Diceros bicornis minor: one gene and its partner. The protein of the gene in region 2 binds, or shares a complex with, the protein of the main gene of each other region. Links are inferred from orthologs where the notes say so. Each region holds a gene or a part of one and is shown on either strand. Other genes may lie near its edges.

The links.
Region 1: the proteins of MED24 (region 2) and MED16 are in contact, whole or in part, in a cryo-EM structure (PDB 7EMF), measured with the Homo sapiens proteins. The link is inferred for Diceros bicornis minor from reciprocal best matches to the Homo sapiens genes MED24 and MED16. Residues at the interface, in NP_055630.2 of Homo sapiens: Ile539, Leu540, Asn541, His544, Pro545, Glu593, Arg629, Met630, Leu631, Gly632, Leu633, Asp634, Glu635, Asp676, Gln679, Gln680, Thr681, Ala682, Pro702, Pro703, Lys704, Arg705, Pro706, Ile707, Lys708, Glu709, His737, Met738, Gly739, Gly740; in NP_005472.2 of Homo sapiens: His29, Cys30, Pro31, Ser32, Arg52, Asp54, Asp55, Gln56, Glu82, Asp102, Val126, Glu127, Gly128, Asp129, Pro130, Val184, Ser185, Leu187, Thr203, Glu204, Ser205, Cys207, Arg208, Leu209, Arg210, Gly211, Arg212, Asp232, Gly233, Ser234.

The regions. Positions count from the first base shown.
Region 1 is NW_026691553.1:468,049-479,383, forward strand, and holds the start of MED16 (mediator of RNA polymerase II transcription subunit 16), read right to left. Parts: upstream 4,908-11,335; 5' UTR 4,810-4,907; intron 4,595-4,809; exon of another isoform or gene 4,576-4,594; intron 2,981-4,575; exon of another isoform or gene 2,934-2,980; 5' UTR 2,888-2,933; coding exon 2,755-2,887; intron 2,072-2,754; coding exon 1,964-2,071; intron 1,693-1,963; coding exon 1,523-1,692; intron 204-1,522; coding exon 1-203. Other genes in the region: R3HDM4 (R3H domain-containing protein 4), read right to left, coding at 9,295-9,398, 10,022-10,077, 10,160-10,245, 10,703-10,788, 11,012-11,135. UniProt on the Homo sapiens protein: Component of the Mediator complex, a coactivator involved in the regulated transcription of nearly all RNA polymerase II-dependent genes.
Region 2 is NC_080757.1:39,630,592-39,642,528, forward strand, and holds the start of MED24 (mediator of RNA polymerase II transcription subunit 24), read right to left. Parts: upstream 4,402-11,937; 5' UTR 4,361-4,401; intron 4,157-4,360; exon of another isoform or gene 3,970-4,156; 5' UTR 3,889-3,969; coding exon 3,759-3,888; intron 3,670-3,758; coding exon 3,587-3,669; intron 1-3,586. UniProt on the Homo sapiens protein: Component of the Mediator complex, a coactivator involved in the regulated transcription of nearly all RNA polymerase II-dependent genes.

The DNA of each region.
Region 1 (11,335 bases), on a different chromosome or scaffold from region 2:
TCGGCCAAGGCCACGCGGCCGCGCAGCCGGCACAGGCTCTCCGTCGACGTGAGCACCTGCCCGCTGGGCTTGAGCAGGGACACGGTCACCAGGCCACTGACCGTCACCGCGATCCAGCCCTCCATGGGCTTGCCGCCGAACAGCGTGAGCGACGGCGAGAACTTGACGCGGGAGAACTTCTCCCCGAAGCTGGAGGCACCCGACTGCAGGGGAGGGGGAGCCAGGGATCAGGAAGAGACGCCCCGACCAGCCCTTCAGGGTCTGCCTTTTGTGACCCAACAACCCCTCTTCTGAAAGTCGCATCCACAGAAACACGGAGGGGCAACAGGGCAGAACGCACGACACCGTGGACTTGAGTTCAAATCCTGCCTGGGCCACTTCAGCACTGTGAGATGTGAGTCTCTCTGACCCTCGGTCTCCCCGTCTGGACCTCAGAGGTCCACGGTGAGGATTCAATGACTAAACACATGTAGAATGAGTCAGCAACCTTTTTCCGTAAGGGGTCGGACACCCCACATTTTCAGCTTTGAGGGCCAGGTGGTCCTGTTGTGACTACCTGGCTCGTCCTCTGTGTTTGTAACGCAGAAGCTGCTGCCAATAAGATTCCGCTGACAAAAACAGGTGGGGGCTGCATTTGGGATGGGGTTTCTTTTGCGGTGATAGAATGTTCTGGAATTAGTGGTGATGCCTGCACCACACACGAAACGCTTAATTGTGTACTTTAAGTGGGTGAGTTGTAAGGCGTGTGAATTTTATCTCAATAAAGCTGTTACAAAAGAGAGACAGCAGCCCGTCCTGAGACGCTCACGGGGTGGCATGAAGCCCGGGCTGCGCACACGGCAGCCACACGCTGACAGGACCGTCCCCGGGCCCCGCACTGGGCCCTGAGGGAGGGACAGGAGAAAAGATTACTTCCTGATTTGAACTCAGGCGCCCCCTGACCCAGATGGCTCCCACTCTTAACGGCGATGCTAGGTCAAATCACAGGGTACAGAGAGAGAAATTCTGAGATATTACTGAATTAAAGGACAGGCTGGGTTCTGAGAACAGCAGCCATCAGTTAAATGGGCAGCTCACTGAGGACAGCAGCCATCAATTTAAATAGGTGGCTCACTGAAGAGAACAGCCACCCCTTAAATGGAAGGCTCACTGAGGACAGCAGCCATCAGTTAAAAAGGTGACTCACTGAGGACAGCAGCCATCAGTTAAATGGGCAGCTAAGGACAGCAGCCATCAGTTAAAAACGTGACTCGCTGAGGACAGCAGCCATCAGTTAAATGGGCAGCTGAGAACAGCAGCTGTCAGTTAAAAAGGTGACTCCTCGAGGACAGCAGCCATCAGTTAAATGGGTGCCCACTGAAAACAAAGGTGCTAAGTGACAGCTTGATGGCAGGTATGAGCTGGGCCCAGGGCTCCCAAAGCCAGAGGATGCTGGTGGTGGGAGAGGAGCCAGGCTGGCAGGTGGACGGGCAGGGTAAACAACCTCGTCCGCCACACCTGCTCACTTGGGCCAGACACCCACCTTTTCCACATGCAGTGCCAGCTTCACACCGTTGTGCAGCCAGGACAGGGCCACAATGGGGTCCCCCTCCACCAGGCTGCCCACGTGGCTCTCCCAGCTGTTGGCGAGGTGGTCCGCCATGCTCCAGCACTTGATCTGCCCATCGGCATCAGCGGACAGGAGCCGGGAGCCTGTGGGGGCAAAGCTGAGTCACGAACCCCCAGCAGAGAAGCCAGCCTGGTGGACACAGAGCAGGGGAGTGGCACAAGGCATGTTCCGGAAATGATTCTGGACACGGGGAATGGGAGGAGCAGTGGCTTTGCCACAGGTCGAGGGTTCGAGTCCCAGCTCTGGGCACTGGGGACATGCCTGGGGAAAGACAGAGCATGCTGCTCCGGGAGCCGGGGTCGAGGGGCACACGGGCGTCTCCCCGGGCCGCGCAGACCCCAGGCCCACCCTCACCTGACTGGTCCCACTCGAGGCAGGTGATGGCCTCACTGTGCTCCGAGCTGACGGAGTGCACGTCCCAGGGGTGCTCCGTGTCCAGGATGTGGATCATGCGGGTCAGGTCTGTGGGGGAACAGGGCACCATCAGCACAGCAGCAACGACACAGCCCCCAAGCGCCCGACCACCAGGCGGCTCAAGGAGGAAGCCAGTGGACGGCCCACCCGCAAGGAAGTCACAGAGCCGCCGCCAACCATGCCAATGCCCCGGGGCAATGGAGGACCAGGCTCATGTCCCACCTGGAGACCGGAGCGGGCCTGTGACCATGCCACCAGTGCGGCTATGACCACGTTTTTAAGAGAGACACAGAAAAGAGAATTGCAAGAAAATGACCCCAAAATGTTAACAGTGAGCGTCTCTCCGTGGAAGGTAACGGCTGGTTGTTTCTCTTTATCCTGAATTTCTGTGCTTTTCTGGTTTTCTCTGACGACGGAGAGAAGACAGCAACTGCCATGCACGTTAGACGCTACATTAAAGACGAACGATGACATGTTTGGTCCAGAAGACTGGGGATCCCGCCCCTCACCCCACTCCATCCCGAAGGGTGATCCCAGCATCCCCGGGCACCGGGCGTGGGAGCGCACCACAGCTGCCCTGTGCACCCTGCGGGGCTGGGGCCGTCACATCCCCAGGAGCGGAGGGCCTGGACGGTGAGGGTGCTCCCTGGCAGGCCTGGGGACCCTGAGGACCCCACAGCAGCACTGTGGGGGCCAGGCTACGACACTGTGTCGGGGGGCCGGGGGCGTACCCTGGTCGTCATTCCGGAGATCCGTGGTGAAGGCGATGAGGTTTCGGCAGGACCAGGCACAGGCCAGGGGCACCGACGGGCAGTGGGTGCTCTTGGGCCATTTTTCCCACTCGCAGACGTAAGCCAGATCCATGGTGCCCGCCTGCCACGGCTCCCACGGCGAGAACAGTCACCAGCTCCTGGGGGAAGGAGGAGGGCTGGCTCGTCATCCACGTTCACGGAGAACCTGCAGGGCACCGAGTGTGGGACAGGACGCCAGGTGACCACAGGGAGTGTGTCTAGTGAGTGTCTGTGTGTGTGTATGTATGGGGGCCGTGACAGGGAGGCCTCACCAGGGAGAGTATACTGAGCGTGGGTATGAGGGAGCGAGGCAGGCAGATGTCTGAGGAAAGAGCATTCCAGGTGGTGGGAACAGCCAGTGCAAAGGCCCAGAGGCTGGATGGAGCCCTGTGTGTTCAGAGAGTGGCTGGCTGGCCGGAGTGGCTGGAGCAGAGTGAGTGAGGGGATGGGGCAGGCCGTGCAGTGCCCCGAGTGAGGTGGGAGCCTTGGGAAGGCCGTGACCCATCTATGTTGCAACAGACCCTTCTGGCTGTCTGGAGTGCGCAGCTAGGGGATGCAGTGGGGACTGCACTAGTCCAGGCGGGCAACGACGGGGCCAGTGGATACTGCAGGGAGAGGTGGGACCCCCCGTCTCTACCAGAAACATGCAAGAGCACGGTGGTGCTGTCTCTGGCTGAGATGGAGAGACAGGTGGGGAGTGGGCAGCTTACTGGGGGTGGCCGGGTGGCTCTCCACATGCCCAGCCCAATTATAGGTTGTTTCCTTTCACCACAACAGAAACCCAATGAGATGGAACAACCACCTACCCCATTTCTTTCAACCACCACCCCTAGGGCACCCTATTCTTCCAGCCTCGCCCCAGAACACCAATGTCCTGCCCACAAGCCCTCAATCCCCATCCCCTACATTCTTTGCTTTCCCAATTTGCCCCCCGGAGCCCCCAAGCCCGGCCTAAACTCTCGGGCTCCAACCCAGGGACCCCAAACAACCCCCAGGTCCCACCCCCAAGCCCTCCAGCCCCGCCCAACACTTTTTGCTTTCCAGACTGCCCCACCAAGTTCTCCAGGTCCTGACTCTACTTGCCCCCTGGAGACCTCAGATCCCACCCCAGGAACCCTACATGATCCCCAAGCCCCGCCCCCAAACGCCCATGCCCACCCCCAACGCGACCCAGGCACCGCCCCTCAGGAGATACACTCTCCAGGCCCCACTCCCAAGAGACACAATCTCTCGGGAGCTACAACCTCCAGGTTCTGCCCCCAGGAGTTACAACCTCTAGGCTCCGGCCCCAGGGAGCTACAACCTCCAGGCCCCGCCCCCCGGAGTTACAACCTATAGGCTCCGCCCTCGGGAGCTACAACCTCCAGGCCCCGCCCCTGGGGAGTTACAACCTATAGACTCCGCCCCTCAGGAGCTACAACCTCCAGGCCCCGCCCCCAGGAGTTATAACCTCTAGGCTCCGCCCCCAGGAGTTACAACCGCTAGGCCCCGCCCCCCGGGGGTTACACCCGCTAGGCCCCGCCCCCAAATAGCCCAGACCCCGCCCCCGGGAGTTAGAGCCTCTAGCTTCCGCCCCTCAGGAGCTACACCCTCTAGTCCCCGCCCCAAGTCGCCCAGGCCCCGCCCCCAGGAGTTACAACCGCTAGGCCCCGCCCCCAGGAGTTACAACTGCTAGGCCCCGCCCCCCGGAGTTACAACCTCTAGGCCCCGCCCCCAAATAGCCTAGGCCCCCCCTTCATAACCCCAGCTCCCCGAACTCACCGCGACCCCCACTTGGACTCATGCTTCCCCTCAAGTCTCGGCCACAACCCCCGAGCCCGCCCAGCGCGCGCCAGCCCGCGTACCCAGCACCCTTTGCTCTCCAGACCCGCCCTCTGACCCCACAGGCCCCGCCCCGGACCCGCGAAGCCCCGCCTTCTCCGGGCCGTGCTCTCCGGGGCCGCGGGCGCCGTCCGGAAGCCGTCTGACCCCCGGGCTCCGCAGCCCCGCGCTCACCGGGCCAGCCGAGCGCCCAGCCGAGCAGACGGCCCGCACTCGCCCTAACGCGCCGGCTCCGGCGCCGCCATCCTCCCCGCGACCAACAAGACGTCCGCGCAGCGCGGCCGCTTCCCGGAGGCTTCTGGGACGGCGGCGGCTCCTGCTCTGCCGGCTTCCGGGTTATTTGCATATGCTTATTAATAATTCCCAGCAGCCACCTGAATTGTATTTGGTAGAACAAAGAACACTTTCTCAACTCCGGTGCGTGACCCCATTTGGCTACGCTATGTGTTGCGCTGATACCTAAAAAATAAGTGAGTTACTGAACTTGCTCAATGAAATTCACCCTTAGTGTAAAGTTATTGATAGTTTGCACTATAAATATCTCTCTGGGTAAACTGAGGTTCGTGCTCGCTTCGGCAGCACATATACTAAAATTGGAACGATACAGAGAAGATTAGCATGGCCCCTGCGCAAGGATGACACGCAAATTCGTGAAGCGTTCCATATTTTGCGCCTTGTTTTTCTGGTATCCGCAGGTAGAGAAACTTTTTCTGATATCTACGGGTGGGGAAACTGAGGCTTGATAAGCCAAGTGACTTACCCAATCGAGGGCCCTTCTGGCTGCAAACCCCATCCCGGACTCCTCCAAAAGCTGGTCCCATTCGCATTTGCTTTACATTTCTTTTTTTTTTTTCCTTCTATTGAGGTCACATTGGTTTACAACATTGTATAAATTTCAGGTATACATCGTTATATTTCGATTTCTGTGTAGAAGACACAGTGTTCACCACCCAAAGACTAGTTATCATCCGTCACTGTGCACCTGTGCCCCTTTACCCGTGTTACCCTCCTCCCACACCCTGCCTCTCTGGTAACCACCAATCTCCTCCAAATTTATGTGTTTGTTTATCTTCCACATATGAGTGAAACCAGGCGGTGTTTGTCTTTCTCTGTCTGGCTTATTTCGCTTAACATAATACCCTCAAGGTCCATCCACGTTGTTGCAAATGGCATGACTTCATCTTTTTTATCACTGAGTGATATTCCATGGTGTGTATATACCACATCTTCTTTATCTATTCTTCCCTTGATGGGCACTTAGGTTGCTTCCAAGTCTTGTCTATTGTGAATAACGCTGTGATGAACATAGGGGTGCATGTATCTTTATGTATTTGTTTTTTCATGTTCTTTGGATAAATACCCAGCAGTGGAATAGCTGGATCGTATGGTATCTCTATTCTTAACTTTTTGAGGCATCTCCATACTGTTTTCCATAGTGGCTGCACCAGTTTGCACTCTCACCAGCAGTTCGTGAGGGTTCCCTTCTCTCCACATCCTCTCCAACACTTGTTGTTTCCTGTCTTGTTAATTATAGCCATTCTGACAGGCGTGAGGTGGTATCTCAGTGTAGTTTTTATTTGCATTTCCCTGATAGTTAATGATGTTGAACATCTTTTCATGTGTCTGTTAGTCATCTCTATGAAAAATGTCTGTTCATATCCTCTGCCCATTTTTAAATTGGGTTGTTTGTGTTTTTGTTGTTGAGTTGTGTGAGTTCTTTATATATTACAGAGATTAACCCCTTGTGGGATATATGGTTTGCAAATATCTTTTCCCAATTGTTAGATCATCTTTTCGTTTTGTTCATTGTTTCCTTTGCTTTGCAGGAGCTCTTTGGTCAGATGAAGTCCCATTTGTTTATTTTTTCTTTTGTTTCCCTTGCCTGAGGAGACATGGAATTCGAAATGATGCTGCTAAGACCAATGTCAGAGAGTGTACTGCCTATATTTTCTTCTAGGAGTTTTGTTTTCATGTCTTACATTCAACTCTTTAATCTATATTGAGTTAATTTGTGTATGGTGTAAGATGATGATCTATTTTCATTCTTTTGCATGTGGCTGTCCAGTTTTCCCAACACCATTTGTTGAAGAGACTTTCCTTTCTCCATCGTATGTTCTTGGCTCCTTTGTCAAAGATTAACATGTGCACATAAGTTCTTTTTTCTCAGGATTCCTTTGGCTCTTCGGGGTCTCTTGTCCCATGCTTTACATTTCTGTTTTTCATAGCTGGGGAAACTGAGGCTCTGATAAACATGGTGACTTGCCCAGTCGAGGGCCCTTCTGGATTCAAACCCCATCCCCAGTTCCTCCTCCAAAAGCTGCTTCTATTCCTGCCCGACTCTCCCCAATTGGAAGGTCTTCTCCAGGAAGCCCTCCTGGGATTGCAGGGAAGGGCACACTGGGCAGAAGGCACTGCCTGGGCAAAGGCCTGGTTCTTGGGAACGGAGCTGGGGAAAATGGGTGGAAGGAAGCCCACCGCCCCACAGTGGCAACCGCGAGACTGGAAGGGCAGCCAGTGGGCGCCCCCAGAGGCCCCGCATGCCCGCCCTGCGGCCCAGCCCTGTCCCCTGGGAACTGGGAATTCGTGCCCTTCACAGACGGGGCCTCCCAGCTGGTGACCCAGTATCTCCTTTTGTCCTCCTCCCAGCCATTTGGGTTTCCCTCCTCCAGCATCTATCTTTAAAACTTTGTAAATGTCCGTTCACACGGAAGACAGCGCCCCCAGCGCCCCACGCTGGCTTCGAATCCGGGCCCGGGTGGGAGGAGCCGCGCACCCTGAAGCCCAGAAAGTCAGGCCGGACTCACAAACTAAAAACCCCACCGGGATGGGGGCCTCCGAGAGACAAGGAGCTGCTGAAGGAGCTCTCGGCCGCCAAACCCGCAACAGTCTGAGCAACGAAATAAAGTGATGTTGGATTATAACCCAGACCAGAAAGTAAATACCCCCTCGAGCCTCGTCGTGTATGTGGTTGAATAAACACACGTGGAGAAGAGACAGTCCTCCCCTGTGGAATTCCCAGTAAATCAGGCAGAGGCTCTGCCCTCATGAAGACCGCTTCCCGAGGACAGTGTGGAGGGGCAGGGACCCCCCAGTGCAGGGCCCGAGTAGCGCCCCTCCACCAGGAGGTCAGGGTCCCCGTCAGCAGGGAGAAGCCGCGAGGACAGCAGGGACCCCGATGTGGCGCGATGACAGGGCACGTCCCTTTGTCCGATCATGAGAAAACCCAGGCTGGGGACGTCCTGCAGGACACCGGCCAGTCCCAGACACACGCAGGGAGAGTCCACGTGACGACGGAGGCAGAGATGGAGGGACGCGGCCACAAGCCCAGGACGCCTGAGCCTCAGAGGCTGGGAGAGGCGGGAGGGAGCCTCCGGAGGGAGCACGGCCCTGCGACACCGTGACCTCAGATGTCTGGGCTCCAGAACTGGAGACAGTGTATTCCTGTGGTTTTAAGCCTCAGTGTGGGGTACTCTGTCCCCAGGAAGCTCACACGAGTGACTTTTTGGAGGTCACACAGCCGGGAAGTGGCGGAGCTGGGTCTGAACCTGGGCTCCCGGGAGGGGGACGAGCCAGCGGGGCAGAGCGAGCCCCCGATGCTCCCGGCAGTCTCCCCGGACACCCGCCTCACCCCTGGGGCGTCACTCAGTGCCAAGCCCCATCCCCGAGCCTACAGCCTCAATGACCAGGACCCCAGCGATCCCGAGCCTCCTGCGCCCCCAGCCCCGCACCAAAGGGAACCCCACAGCTGAGACAAGAGCACCAGAAATTTATTGACTCTCCACTCTTCCCAAAGCACAGCTAGCCACACACCGGGGGCGGGGGGGGGGCAGCCCTGCTCTCGGGGGCCGGGCCAGGCCAGGTGGCCCGCCGGAGGACACCCCAAAGCAACAGGCTGGGGAACATGGAAAGGGAACCGGGTAGTCCAAGGGCGGAGGCTTCTGGCTGGAAGTCCCGGACTCCCAGTAGGAAAAGACGGGAGAAAAATGGGGAAGGGCAGGGTATACAGCAGACAGGGCCCCAAGAGCCACCAAAAGACACCAGCGGGGGACAACACACATTCCAAAAAGAGAGTAAAACCAGCCTTTAAAACGCAGCTTCCGTCCTGGGTCGTGGGGCACGCGCACGCACACACAAGACGTAACACTCCCAGGGCGGGGGACGAGGCCCCAGAGACCCCCCCCATCCAAGCCAAAAACTGGGAGGGGGGTGTCAAGCAGGGACTGGAACAAAGCCCCCCGATTTATCAGTTGGGGCGAGTTTGGTTTTTCTTCCCAAAAGGGAAATTTAAAAATCTACAACAAATCACACCAAATTCATTAAAAGTGATAAAAAGCCAGCCTCTCCCTCCTCGCTTAAGCCTCAGACTGGACGGAGAAAGCTGAACGAAGAAGGAACATGGAAGTGACCAGGCCCGGTCTCCCCGCCCAAATACAAGTCCCAGAGCGAGGAGCTATGGGGCCTGGAAAGGCCAGAGCAGCCCCAGCCACCAGAATTTATCTGGAAGGGCTGGGCAGGGAGGGGGCTGGGGTGAGAGAGAGCCACCCCAAGGGGAAGATGACGTTTCCAAAGACGAATTCTAAAAATAATGAAGATATTCTGGCGGGTGGCACGGAAGGTCCGGTGCCGGGGAGGCGGTGGGCGGGGCCCGGCGGGCCGCCATCAGCTGCGCTGCTCCAGGTAGGCGGAGAGGAGCAGCCCGGGCGGCAGGAAGTCCAGGTGCCGATTGCTGACCTTCATCTGCCGCCTGCCCTCCAGGTCAGCACCTGCGCGAGGCGCCAGCGGGGCGAGTGAGTCCCCACCTTTGCAGAGAAGCACCCCCGGCCCGGCCCCTCCGCCCGAGTCTGTGGGAACAAAGGCGGGCGTGGGGGCCGCAGGAGGCATCCAGAGGTTGCCATGGAAACCGTCTCCTTAGCAACTCCGGGCAGGAGGCGGAGAGACAGGCGTGGGGAGCGAGGACCCGATGGGGCGCCCAGGGCCAGCAGGGGCCTGCGAGGACCCTCCCTGGGGGGCTGTAAAAGCGGGGACACAGGCCCCGGCAGGGGGCACTTGGTGGAAGTCACACGTGTGGCACAGTGGAGGAGACAACGGCTAAATGAGAACGCTGCAGACACTGGGGTCCCCTCATCTCATCTCAGGGTCCCTGGGGGCCCAGCCTCATCCCCCAGGCCCCTCTCTGCTCTCGGCCCTGAAGAGGCGGACTGAGGGGTGTCTGTGGCCACAGCGTCACCCAGCGTGGGGCCAGGCGCACAGGGAGCTTCTGGTGAATTAACGCAGAGCCACTGCCAACCCTCTGCTCCCGTGGAGGAACCAGACCCCGTGTAACCCCGGCCTCGGTGTCCCCGGGCTCAATCGGCCAGCTGGGGTCTGGGGGCCGCCAGGCACTTACTGGCCGAGATGAGGTCCATGTACTGGCAGACGGCGTGAAGCAGGAGCCTCTCGAAGCTGTGGAGGAAGGGGCGGTGAGGGGCCGAGGGCCAGAGCCGGACACCCGGGGATCCCGCTGTGCCCGCCCCAACCCGGTCACCTGTTGTCCAGCATGGCCGTGTACACGGCCTGGGGGGACACGGAGAAGAACCTGAGCAGCCGCTCCTCCCAGGTCTCCAGCGTTTCCTGCAGGAGAGACGGGCCCCGGGGTCAGGCTGACTGTGGGACCCTGGGCAGGCTGTCCAGGACCCCCAGGCCCAGGGCAGAGTCCAGAGTTCAAAGCCCTGGGTTCAAATGTGGCCTCTGACCTGCTACATGAGGCTACCTGTTTCCGAGGATACTAGGTACTTAGACATCTCCATATCTTTGAACGCCTGCACCTTCTGCCTGGTGAACTTCTACACATCCTACAGTGCCCACCTTCCTTGCCCCTGCCACTCCCATCCTCAAGGAGAGCCCTTGCCTGGCCCTGGGTCCTACACTCTGATCACACTGGTCTGTATCTCGCCCTGTCTCCATGACACCATGGCACACCGGGTAACCAGTCTCCCCTCGCCCCACCCTCAGTTGAGAAGTTGGGGTAAAAAGGCCATCAAAAAAGACCAGGCGGGTGGGGACAGAGGAGGCCCAGCCTGGTACTCACCATGGGGATGCGGCTGCGCTTGAGGATGGCTCGCAGACGCCGGCTGATGCGCTGGAAGCACTCGCGGGGCGTGTAGGCCGGGTCCTCTGCAAGAGTCCAAAGTGTGGGGCAGCCGGTGAGGCCGGCCCCCGGCCCCAACACACCAGGCCCCTCCCCTGTGTCTCCACCCCACCCACACCAGGCTCCTCCCCACCCGCCCCTGGGCCCCGCCCACACACCAGGCTCCTCCCCCAGCCCCCAGCCCCGCCCACAATGCTCGGCCAGGCCCCATCCGCCCCTCCGGTCTCCCAGCCCCTTCCAGGCCCGCACCTCTCCGCCGGTCCTCCCCCCGGCCGGGCCCCCTCCTCCGCGTCTTGCTCCTGCCCTCATCCTCCAGGTAGCGGAGCACCCGCTCCTGCTCCTCCCCGGAGCGGTTCATGAAGTCGTTCCAGACCTGCAAGAGAGGCGGGCAGGTCCAGGGCTAACGACTGCGCGGCTCTGGCCTCAGGTTCCGCATTCGGCCAGTGCACACGGAGGGCCCCACGTGCATGGAAATACTCCTTGTGGACACGCTGGCCCACTGGGCCCGCCAGTTCATGGGGCACCTGTGGACCCACCTGTCTGGGGCGGGGCATCCATATGGACCAAATGCAC
Region 2 (11,937 bases):
ACTATCAATCAAACATACTAGAATGTCAAGAAACAATTTAGGATACAACAAAGAATGGCCTATTCAATAAAGGCAGTTGAGCCAACTGTCCATCTATTTGGAAAAATAAATAAATAAATATGGATCTCTTCTTCACACCTCAATAAAGTCTAAATGGATTAAACAAAATAAATATAAAAAAGAAAAGTAAAATGTTGGCAGAAATCAGAGAAGAATATATCTTGATCCTCAGAGCAGGGAGGCCCTCAAGCAAGACAAAGCCATATAATGGAAAAAAATGGTTAAATCTGACAACAAAAACATTAAAAATTTCTGCATGCTAAGAAAATAAAACCAACAAGTCAAAAAAAGTGATAGAAAATTTAAAACATATATAAAAGATAATGATTACAAGATAGATTATATTAATAGACACTTAAAAATCAGTAAGAATTCTTCTTGGGATGATGAAAATGTTCTAAATTGATTGTGGTGATGGTTGCACAAGTCTGAATACACTAAAAACCAGTGAATTGTATACTTTATATGCGTAAATGGTATAGTTTGTGATTTATATCTCAATAAAGCTGTTACCAAAATAAAGAAAACAAACAAATGACAGAAAAATGGGCAAATGATATACATAAGTAATTGACAGAAGATATACAGAGAGCCGATAAACATACGAAAAAATACGCTCAACATCGCAATCATGGAAATATGTATTATAATGTGATGTAATTTTTTGCCTCTCTGCAAAAGAGTTTTAAGAGATTCTATCCAGCACTGGAAAGGTGTGGGGAAATACTATCAAACACTATGGAGAGGGTATAAACTGATACAATCCTTTTTGGAGCACAATTTGTAGGACCTACTACAATTTAATGTGTGGGTACTCTTCAAATCAGCAATTCCATTTCTAGGTAGTTCCCTATCCTAGGGAAATATTCTCAGATATGCAGAAGGGTGAGGATAAGGTGAGTATAAGGATGTTCAGTGAAACATTGATTATAACAGTAAAAAATTAAAAAACAACCTAAATTACAGTACATATGGAACACTATGCAGCAGTTAAAAAGAATAAAGGACGTGAATATGTACTAACATGGAAAGCAGACATAACGCCAAGAGGAAAAAGGAAGTACGAGAACTACGTGCCAGCTGAAGAATACTACTCAGCAATTAAAAAAAAGGAAGTTCTGACATACACAACAACATAGATAAATCTCAAAAACATTTATGTTAAACAAAAGAAAACAGTATACAGAACATATATGATTCCATTTCTATGAAATCCAAATATTAGTCTATGGTGATAGAAAACACTTAGTGGTTATAAGAGGATGGACTAGAAAGGAGCACAAGAGAACTTTCTGGGAGAATGAAAATGTTCTGTATCTTATTTTGGATATCAGTGACATGGTATATACAATTGCTAAAACTCACTGAATTAATCTTAAGATCTGTGCATTTTATTGCATGTTAAATATATATATATCTCCTATCATACTATTCTTCCACTTAAAATCCTTTAAATGATTACTTGTCACCCTAGGATAAAGTCCAAACTCCTTAGCATCACTCACGGGTCCTTTATGACCTAATCTCTATCTCACTCTAAACCAGTGTCCTCCTTGAAGTGCTAGCCCAGCAGTTCTCAAAATATGGTCCAGGAACCCCTGGGGTCTGTGAGGTCAAAAAATAAATACGACTAAGATGTTATTTGCCTTTTTCACTCTCATTCTCTCACAACTGTACAAGGAGTGTCCCAGAGGCTCTATGATATGTGATGATATCATATAATTAAACGTGTCAACTGGAATATCTGTGTAACTCAGTAACGGATATTTTCCAAATGACCAATTCATGATATGATAAAATCATGCATGGGTAAAAGATATATTCAAAGTGCAAGAGAGAGACTAATGGATTTTAATGTAATGGAGTATAAAAAGTTGATTCATGTGGTTTCACATCACCTGTTGAATTTTAGTGTATCAAAGAAGAATATGCAATTATCTGAAAAGTTTATTAAAGTACTGCTCCCTTTCCAAACTAAATATTTGATGTGTGAGGGCAGATTTTCTTCATACACTTCAACCAAAATAGCCTATTGCAACAATTGAATGCACAAGATTTGAGAATTCAGGGGCCAGCCCCACGGAGTAGTGGTTAAGTGCGCACGCTCCACTGCTGGCGGCCCGGGGGGTTCGCAGGTTCGGATCCCGGGCAGGCACTGATGCACCACTTGTCAGGCCATGCTGTGGCGGCATCCCGTATAAAGTGGAGGAAGATGGGCACGGATGTTAGCCCAGGGCCAATCTTCCTCAGCAAAAAAAAAAAGAGGAGGACTGGCATGGATGTTAGCTCAGGGCTGATCTTCCTCACACACACAAAAAAAAAAGATTTGAGAATTCAGCTGTCTTTTATTAAACCAGACATTAAAGAGATTTGTAAAAACATAAAACAATGCCACTTTCCTCACTAATTTTTTTGTTTTGGAAAATACAGTTTTCATTAAAATGTTATTTATATTAACACGTAATGGCTTTATTTTTTGTTACTTTTAAATAAATTCATAAATATTTTTAAATTTCTGTTTTCATTCCTACACTGGTAAATATGGATAGATGAAAAACATATAAACAAAGCAGTCTCAATAATTTTTTTCTTGGAGTCTTTTCTTTGTTTCTTTGTTGGATTGTCACCGGGGACCTTTTCAGTTTTGCCCAGTGGATCAACAATTTTTAAGAGTATAAAAGGGTCCTCAGACCAAAACTGCTGCTCCAGCCATACTCAATTATTTTCATCATCATGCAACTTTTGCCTCCCAGCCTCTTCACATGCTCTCCTCCCTGCTTTGTACAGCCTCATCAACGCGCCTAGCTAACTCCTACTTACCATTCAGGTCTTGGTTTAAACATCATTTCCTCTAGAAAGCCTTCCCTGATTCCTCAGACTGGATCACGTACCCCTCCCATATACTCCCATACTACTGCCCTAACCTAGATCATAAACCCATCCTGCGACCGACTGCTTATTTATATATCTGTATCACCCACCAAATTCCTTCTGCGCTGGGATCAGGTCTTGTTCACAGCTATATCCCCGGAGTCTGCGGCACTGTCTAGCACATACAAGAATTCAGGAATACTTCTTGAGAGAATAAGTTAATGTAATATTCATCATAACCAACGAAGCGTTATCTTTTATTTTGTGTGTGTGTGAGGAAGATTAGCCCTGAGCTAACATCCGTTGCCTATCTTCCTCTTTTTGCTGAGGGAGATTGGCCCTCAGCTAACATGTGTGTCCATCTTCCTGTATTTTATATGTGGGACACCTGCCACAGTATGGCTTGATAAGTGGTGTGAAGGTGCACGCCCAGGATCCGAACCTGAGAACCCTGGGCCACAAAAGCAGAGCCAGGAACTTAACCACTACGCCACTGGGCCAGCCCCCAATGAAGCATTATTATTTTTACGAGAAAACTAGGGCTCAGAGAAGTGATGTATTCAAACAAATTCACCTAAAAAGTATGAGCTGACAATTGTACTCCGAGTCTTTTACCTTCAAACCCTCACTCTCTGGAATAGGTGGGGCAGTTTACCTGGGAACTAATGGCATACTTCAGGTAGGACAGGATGAGAGGATTGGGGGAAGGTCCAATCATAGCCTGCTCCAGTAGTGCTTCTGCAAGCGGAATAACAAAGCAAGACTGAGTGGTTACAACTTTTCTGAGTTTAGCCCTCCCATCCTTCCTTCCTATTTCACTTGAGAACCTGCTAAGTTGAGAATGTCCCAGGTGGCTCCCTTGGGAAAGAATTTCTTCATGTTGATTGCCCACTGGTAGTCACTCCATCGCTCCTTCCAGGCTTGCAAAATGGCTTGCTTCAGGTTCACCACCTTCATGATTTCACTCTGAGGAGGCGGGGCCGGTGGCGGTCACCTTTGAGGTGGGAGAAATCCAGCTGGAGAAGAGAAGAGGAGATTCTGAGGAAAAGAACAGGGGAGGGCAGAGTTAAATGCAACGGAGAAGATACAAGAAGATTTAAGGGAGGCAGAGGAACTAGAAAGGAAAAAAGGGGAAGGGGGCAAGGTAGGGATCCTGTCAAGTTCTTCCCTCCTGAACCATCCTTCCTTAAACTGAAGCACTAAGAAGAGGGTGTCAAACGGGCTTAATACAAAGAGTAAATAGGGCAACAAGGGGTTAAGCCAAATCCAGTTTCCTAATTACGCCCTTAGCTCCGGCTGCGTCCCTCAGCCAGCACCACCTCGAACGCACATTCCCTCCCCCCACCCCCATTTCCTCCACCTTCCCTAACCCTAAAACTACAACTCCATATTTCTTTTTCATCCACCACTTGCCCAAATGTAAGCCTACCGGACAATCAAGCCCTAGATCCTAGGTATCGCCATTTTGGCACTTATCAAAGGGCTAATTTTCTATTGGCTGGGAATAATAAACATGAACCAATAGGAATGTAGCAAGAGACCGGTCACGCCACGATGCCTTCTGGGAATTGTAGTTTCCTGGACTGGGCTAGCCAGGAAGCTAAGGGACTAAGCTAGTAACCGCGCATTGTTTCTCTCCTTTAGGGAAGGACAGGGAGAGGCTGAAGCATCACGGAGACTCAGACCGCTGAGCGGGGAGGGCTCTCGAAAAGCGGTTCGCGATCAGACGTGGCCCAATGACGTCACTGTCGACCCGGCCTTTAAATTATATTCCGACACCCTTTCGTTACCCGCTACTTAGTAGGCACAGCTAGTGTGTGGCGTTGATTCAGCAATACGTTTTCTTTTTCCTGGCCTTTTCTTGCTCTCCTAAACCCCTGCGCCTATCAGAGTTGTTCTCATTGCCACACCTGTATTCCAGAAGCGACACTGAGGCTTGGTCAGTTGCACACACATAACTACTTCACCCCCAAATTTGGCAGTCCTCCCAGAATCTCCTGGCCCTGCAACTGCTTGAATACAGGGAGAAGCAAGGAGGAAAGTAAGGAGGAAACTGAGGTTAAGGTTATCAAAAATAAGGAAAGTCTGAAAAACCGTCATAGCCAAGAGGGCCTAAGGAGACATGATGACTAAATGTAACTCGGTTCACTGGATGGGATCCTGGAACAGAAAAAGAACATTAGGTGAAAACTAAGAAATATAAATAAAGCATGGACATTAGTTAATAATAATGTATCAATATTGTTTCATTAATTGTAACAAATGTATCGTACTAATGTAAGATGTTTAAAAAAGGGGAAATTAGGTGTGGGGTATGTAGGGATCCTCTACTATCTTCAAATTTTTTCCTGTAAATCAAAAACTATTCCTAAAAATAATGTTTCTTAAAAACAATGTGATGTCTTGGGCTGGCCCCGTGGCTTAGCAGTTAAGTGTGCGCGCTCCGCTGCTGGCGGCCCGGGTTCGGATCCGGGCGCGCACCGACGCACAGCTTCTCCGGCAGTGCTGAGGCCGTGTCCCACATACTGCAACTAGAAAGATGTGCAGCTATGACATACAACTGTCTACTGGGGCTTTGAGGGAATAAATAAATAAATAAAATTAAAAAAAAAAAACAATGTGATGTCTCACTTATCCTTTGGAACCATATTGTAGATAATTATGTCCAGGGTTTAAGGCATTAGCTCTTGTTCCCCCACTTCCCACCCCACAGTGGGAAGCCCAAAAGCAAATGCTACCCACATCTGGCGCCAACATCTTTTTTTTTTTTTTAACTTTATTTATTTATTTTTCCCCCCAAAGCCCCAGTAGATAGCTGTATGTCATAGTTTCACATCCTTCTAGTTGCTGTACATGGGACTCGGCCTCAGCATGGCCAGAGAAGTGGCGCATCGGTGTGCGCCCGGGATCCAGGCCCGGGCCGCCAGCAGCGGAGCATGCGAACTTAACCGCTAAGGGACAGGGCCGGCCCTGGCTCCAACATCTGAGCCTCCCTATACACAGCCTTCATCCCTGCCCTGTCCTGTGGACAAGTCGTCCCTAACATTTACAACTACGGACAAGAATAATCATGGAGTCATCCGCCCAATGTCCTGCCACCCCTATTTTGAGCCTTCCCATCCCATACCCCCATGAGTCCAAGATCCATCCATATTCCCCAACGACCATTCTTTGGCCACCCTTTCAGTGGTAAAATCAGTCCTCAGAAGGATGAATCCGGGAGAGCAGCCTACTCAGGCTCTAGAAACAAACTTGTGGCCCTTAGGGCAGAGAATAACAGGATCCTGAGTATCTGGAGCATAGCCTAAACAGGGAGAAAAGGACTCCTGTTCTGAAGGGGAGACTGCAGCTGGAGGAGGGCCAAGTCACATCCCTCTAAGGTCATTACTGCCTATGGCCTTTTTCCCTCCCCATACACCCACCCATACCCCCCTCCATTCTGCTCCCTTTTGTGCCTGCCCAAGTGACACCAGTGGTGAATAGTGTTTATATAAAACAGCTGCCAAATATGTGTAGCCAAAGCTTCCAAAGCAGGAAGGAGGGAGAACCCATACTCCTCATATTTAACCTCCAAACTCCCCCAGCCACACAGACACACTTGAGACGCCACCAACCCTGTTTCTCTGCAGTCTCTCACAAATCTGGGCTCCCTTCTTCTCCCAGGCCCCTCACTCTACCTTGCCGGCTCTCTTCCTCTCATTCTTTTCCTGCTCCTGAAGCCAAGGGTCCCCTACCTTGAGTCATTCCTGGATCCTACAGCTCCTTTCCCATCCCTCATAGCCCAGACTGCCCCTCTTGGAGAGAGGCTGTCAACTTTGTGACTGTTCCTAACCGAGTTAGTAGGTGTTGGGTCCAGTCCACATGAGAGTGGGGAATACTTGGGCCCTGAGGATAGTGATATTCTGAGCTCAAACCATCCCCCTCTGACAGGAAGGGTGGTAGATCTCTGGGGGGGAGGATGCCTCTTCCCCACTTTACAGTGACAGGGAAGTGGCTTTTGTAGTCAGGCCATCTGCCTTCCCTGTCCCCCCACCTCTCACCAGTAGTCCTTTCTCTAGGCTTGGCAGGGTTTCCCCAAGGACTGGACTCCTAAGGGAGTACAAGGACTCTCTTAGTTCTGGGCAAGGGCCATTTTCAATTTCTCTACTTTGTCCTGACTATCTAGTCTGCAAATATCAGAGACAGCCTTTCCCGTACACCACCTCTTCCCTGCACAACACAATAGCTTCCTAGGACCCGCAAGCTCTCTGGCTTGCTGACCACAAAGACGGGACTCTATGATGATCCTCCACTGTGTGAGTGAAGAGATGCTGACATCCCTTTTGGCTATACAAGGAACTCTCCGCCCATACAGCCCCTCTCAAAAACCCCTCTTACTTACTCCACTTTCTTTTGCTGTCCATTTCTTCTCCCTCAGCACTGATAGCGGCTGAGCTCCCACCTCTGCTCTCTTAACCCTGAGCCCTACCCTCTTCATCTTGTTGGCTGATCTGGCTGGGGAAGGGGTCTGGCTAGAGAAGAAGCACAGGTGGAAACCAGCCAGCCAGAGTGACATGGCAACACTGGAGCAGTAGCAGCAGAGGAGCTAGGCCAGAGTGGGGACTTGGGTTGGGGTAAGAGGCTGGGAGGAACAGGGTTTTTTGTACTCAAGGGGACAGGGACATTCATTATCTAGGCTAGAAAGAAGTATCCATGGCAGATTGGTTCCAGGAACTCTCGCATATACCAAAATCCATGGATACTACACTTACACTATAAAATGGTGTAGTACATTGGGCTGGCCTGGTGGCGTAGTGGTTAAGTTCACGTGCTCCATTTCAGCGGCCCGGGGTTCGCAGGCCCAGATCCTGGGTGCAGACCTATGCACCACTCGTCAAGCCATGCTGTGGCAGGTGTCCCACATAAAATAAAGGAAGATGGGCACTGATGTTAGCTCAGGGCTAATCTTCCTCACCAAAAAAAAAAAAAGGTGTAGTACAATGAATACAGTCAGCGCTCTCTATCCTCGGGTTTCCCATCCTTGGATTCAACCAACCGCGGGTACTAAACCTGCGGACAACAAGGGTCAACTGTATAAGGAAAAGTGGCAAGAGTCTATACCCAGAAACACTGAAATACTTGGTAAGCATACAAGGCACAGAAGGTTTCAGCTTCCCTTCTCTCCACAGGGAAACTGAGTCATTCCCCTCCCCTAACTGGAACATTTTCCTTTGGAAGCTTGCCTGGGTCTCCCCACTATGGGATGGGGAGTTAATTGGCAGCAGGTGGATGGGGAAAGAAAGAGTCGTTCCCACACACTCATACACAGCTGGTTCCAAATCAGCTCCCTTCTCCCATCGGTCCCCACATCAATCCCTGCTTTCTCTCTATCTGGGGGAGAGGAGAATGGGGGAGAGACCTACATGGTGGCCCCACCTCAGGGACAGCTCCTGGACCCCCCAAGTTCCCTGTCTCTATCTTCCCACTGCCCCCACAGAAGAGCTCCAGAAAGAGACCAGCCAGGATGGTGAAAAAAAGAATTTGAACCAGTCCTTGGAGTATTTCTTCTCTAACACCCTGAAGGATGCCTTCCCTCTCCACATTCCCAGCGCAAAGAAGAAGTGAGGGGGCTGGCCCCGTGGCTTAGCGGTTAAGTGCGCGCGTTCCGCTGCTGGCAGCCTGGGTTCGGATCCCAGGCGCGCACTGACGCACCGCTTCTCCGGCCATGCTGAGGCCACGTCCCACATACAGCAACTAGAAGGATGTGCAGCTATGACACACAACTATCTACTGGGGCTTTGGGGGGGAAAATAAATAAATAAAATCTTTAAAAAAGAAGAAAAGAGGGGCTGCGATCCTGAGGACTGGACAGTGGCAGGGAAGGGAGGCCAGTCTGCCATTTCTTTTTTTTTTTTTTCTGAGGAAGATTAGCTCTGAGCTAACATCTGCCAATCCTCCTCTTTTTCCTGAGGAAGACTGGCCCTGGGCTAACATCCATGCCCATCTTCCTCTACTTTATATGGGACGCTGCTACGGCATGGCTTGACAAGCGGTGCGTTGGTGCGCACCAGGGATCCGAACCAGCGAACCCCAGGCCGCCGCAGCGGACCACGCGCACTTAACCGCTTGTGCCACAGGCCTGCCCAGGCTGCCATTTCTTTTGCACCACCTCTCCCTCCAGGCACTGAGAGCTACTCTATCCTCTTGGCCTCCACACCAGCCTGTCCCATCATCCCCTTTAACTGGACCGAGAGGGCTGCAGTGTGGTAAGGCCCAAACTCTATGGTAAAGGAGACTGCCCCCCGTCTCTCCTTTCATCTCTCCTCCTGGCAAAGGCAAAGTGAAACCAGAACCTGGCACATAATAAATGCTCAAAAAAATGAATGAATAAAAGTAGGAGAAACCCTGAAAGACAACCTGGAGAAGGTGTCGGCTTCTTTTTCCACTTCTTGCCTCAGCTATCAAAAACAAGGCTCAGCCAGGCCTGAGTCCCTTCCCTGGCTACCTCATTTGTGATTCATAACCAGGGCACCTGATGGGACAAAAGTGATTGACAGGGGGGCATTAAGTGGCCACTTTACTCTTAGCAGGGCAATTGTTGGCTAACTTCCCAGTCTTTCATCTTTGCTAGCCACTTGATCCCCAATTCCCATAAAATGGCCCCCCTTTCCTCCATTTCCACCATTTTTTCTTGATTGAAAGATCACTAAAGGGTGAAACACCTGGGTTTGAGGTTCTCTTAGCTGGTGGTTCCTCAGTTTCCTCTGTTGTCTTTTTTTTCCCCCCCAAAGCCCCAGTAGATAGTTGTATGTCATAGTTGCACATCTTTCTAGTTGCTGTATGTGGGACACAGCCTCAGCATGGCCGGAGAAGCAGTGCGTCGGTGTGCGCCCAGGATCCGAACCCGGGCTGCCAGCAGCAGAGCGTGTGCACTTAACCGCTAAGCCACGGGGCTGGCCCTCCTCTGCTGTCTTTCCAGAACTCCCCAATAAGGGGGGCTGTGTCTGCAGAGTCAAGGGGTGTCTGCTGGACACCTTATCACTTGCTGACATCACCCAGAGCCCAGGTGGTCAAGAGGAGATGGGGGAGGGGAATTATTGAGGCCCAGGCCACAGAGCTAGTTCCAGGGCAGGCTGGTAGAGGGACTGTCCCCTGTTCCCCCAAACTGCTTGGGGCTTATTGGCAGGGGTAGAGGATGCTGTGTGGGGTCTTGGCTTCCAGGCTTATAGGGGAAGCTTTTCAGGAAGATATCTGGATCCCCTGGTTTCTAGGGGTGGGAACATTGAGAAATCTTGGGGTGCTTCCTAGCAACAATCTGGGAGGGAGGGAAGGAAGAAGAAAGAGAAGGAGGGGCTTGGGCATAGCTGCTCCTATGGGAGCCCAGAGAACAGGCTGTTCCTGCTGCCTCCTTGGCAACCAAAATCTAAGAGGGAGAGGGCCAACAGGCATATCCCCTTGGAGGGTCTCTATCCATCCTCACTTGTGCCCCACCCTCCTGCTCTCCTGATGGACTCAGCCCTGAAGCAGAGGTTGGTGGGGGAGGGGGTGGAGAATGGGAGGAGACAGCTCTGGTGGGGTTTCACAGCAAGGAGAAAACACGAGCTGAGAATGAAATGGCTCTGAGAAGAGCTAGAAGCTTCAAGAAATGGGGGTAGGCAGGGCGAGTGGGGTGGAAATAGGGATGATGCAACACTGGCAGGGGCTATAAGCCCAGACCTGGGCTGGATCCTGGCATCTGGCCAGATGCCTGTTTTGGAGGCAGTGTGCCCTTCACTTTGCCCTTGCCCAGGTCTGTTAGCAGCCCATACTGGGAGCCAAGGAAAGGGAGAGAGATAAGGAAAAGATGGGAATGGTAAACTCTCGTCTTTGAGTTCAAGGCGCCCTATTCTGCCCCTGGGGTAAAAAAAGGTGGATCAGGAGGCACTTCATTTTCTATGGCTCTGGGTCTAGGATTTCAAAAAGTCTCCCTTACCCAATATCATTAGGGCCTTTTGTCAAAGAGAGATGTGGTGAGGGAAGCCAGAATGGAGAGGAGACAAACCATTACACTTTCATCTGCACCCTCTGGACTCTGTCACCCTGCCCTAATCCTCTGCTAGACCTCTCCATTGCCCCCTGGTTCTGCCTGATTGATGCAGAGCATAAATGTAGCTCATCTCATAAATGTATCCTACGCACTGGGATTCTGTCCCAACTACTTGGGCAGCCCAATCTCAAGAGACTATTTCCACACAGGGTAGAGCACGCACCCTGAGCATTGCACACGGCAGCCTTGCTCCCCAGGGTTTCAGCCAAACCTGGTCACCGAGGAGGTGGCATCGACTGGCAGACAGCCACCCTCAGTGCACCTCACAGTGCACACTGCCCTGACTCTACACGATGCAGCCTCCTGCCCCACACTGCAGCTGTTGCATGTCCACTGCAAGCCCAGGCTGAACCCACAGGTTCACTTACTACATGCTGACTCTGCACACTGCAGCCTCAATTCCCCGCTACGGCTGCCACTGCACAATGTAGGCTCCCTTCACCCACTGCATACCTCTTATCACCACCACTCTACTCTGCATCCCGTGGTTTTCATCCCAGCTGCCTTTCTCATCCCCATGATTCTGGGGATCCCAAGAGAAGCACTCCCTTCTCCCCCACGCATTGCAAACCCCAGTACCCCCTGTAAGAGAAGTGGCTCCAACAGAGCTGAGGATGCAGGTGGCTGAGACTAAGACGAGCAAGGGCAGCCCAACTCAGACAGGCTGTTGGTCAGAACGCCACACTAACGAACGGATTCTGCCCAGGATAATCTGGGCGACTGGTAGAGTAGTTCCCATTAACACACACATAACCCTCCCCAAGAGTGAATTGTGGAGACAGGGCCCCGCCCTGGGAGCCATGGGAAGGCTGTGGCCCCTGCTGGTAAAACTGGGCTAATGACAGCAGGGGAACCGGTGGGGCCAGGGGGGTGCTAGGGTAATTAGAGCTCTGCCTGGCGCTGGGAGATCCTGAGATGAAAGGGGCTGTGGCGTCCCTGGG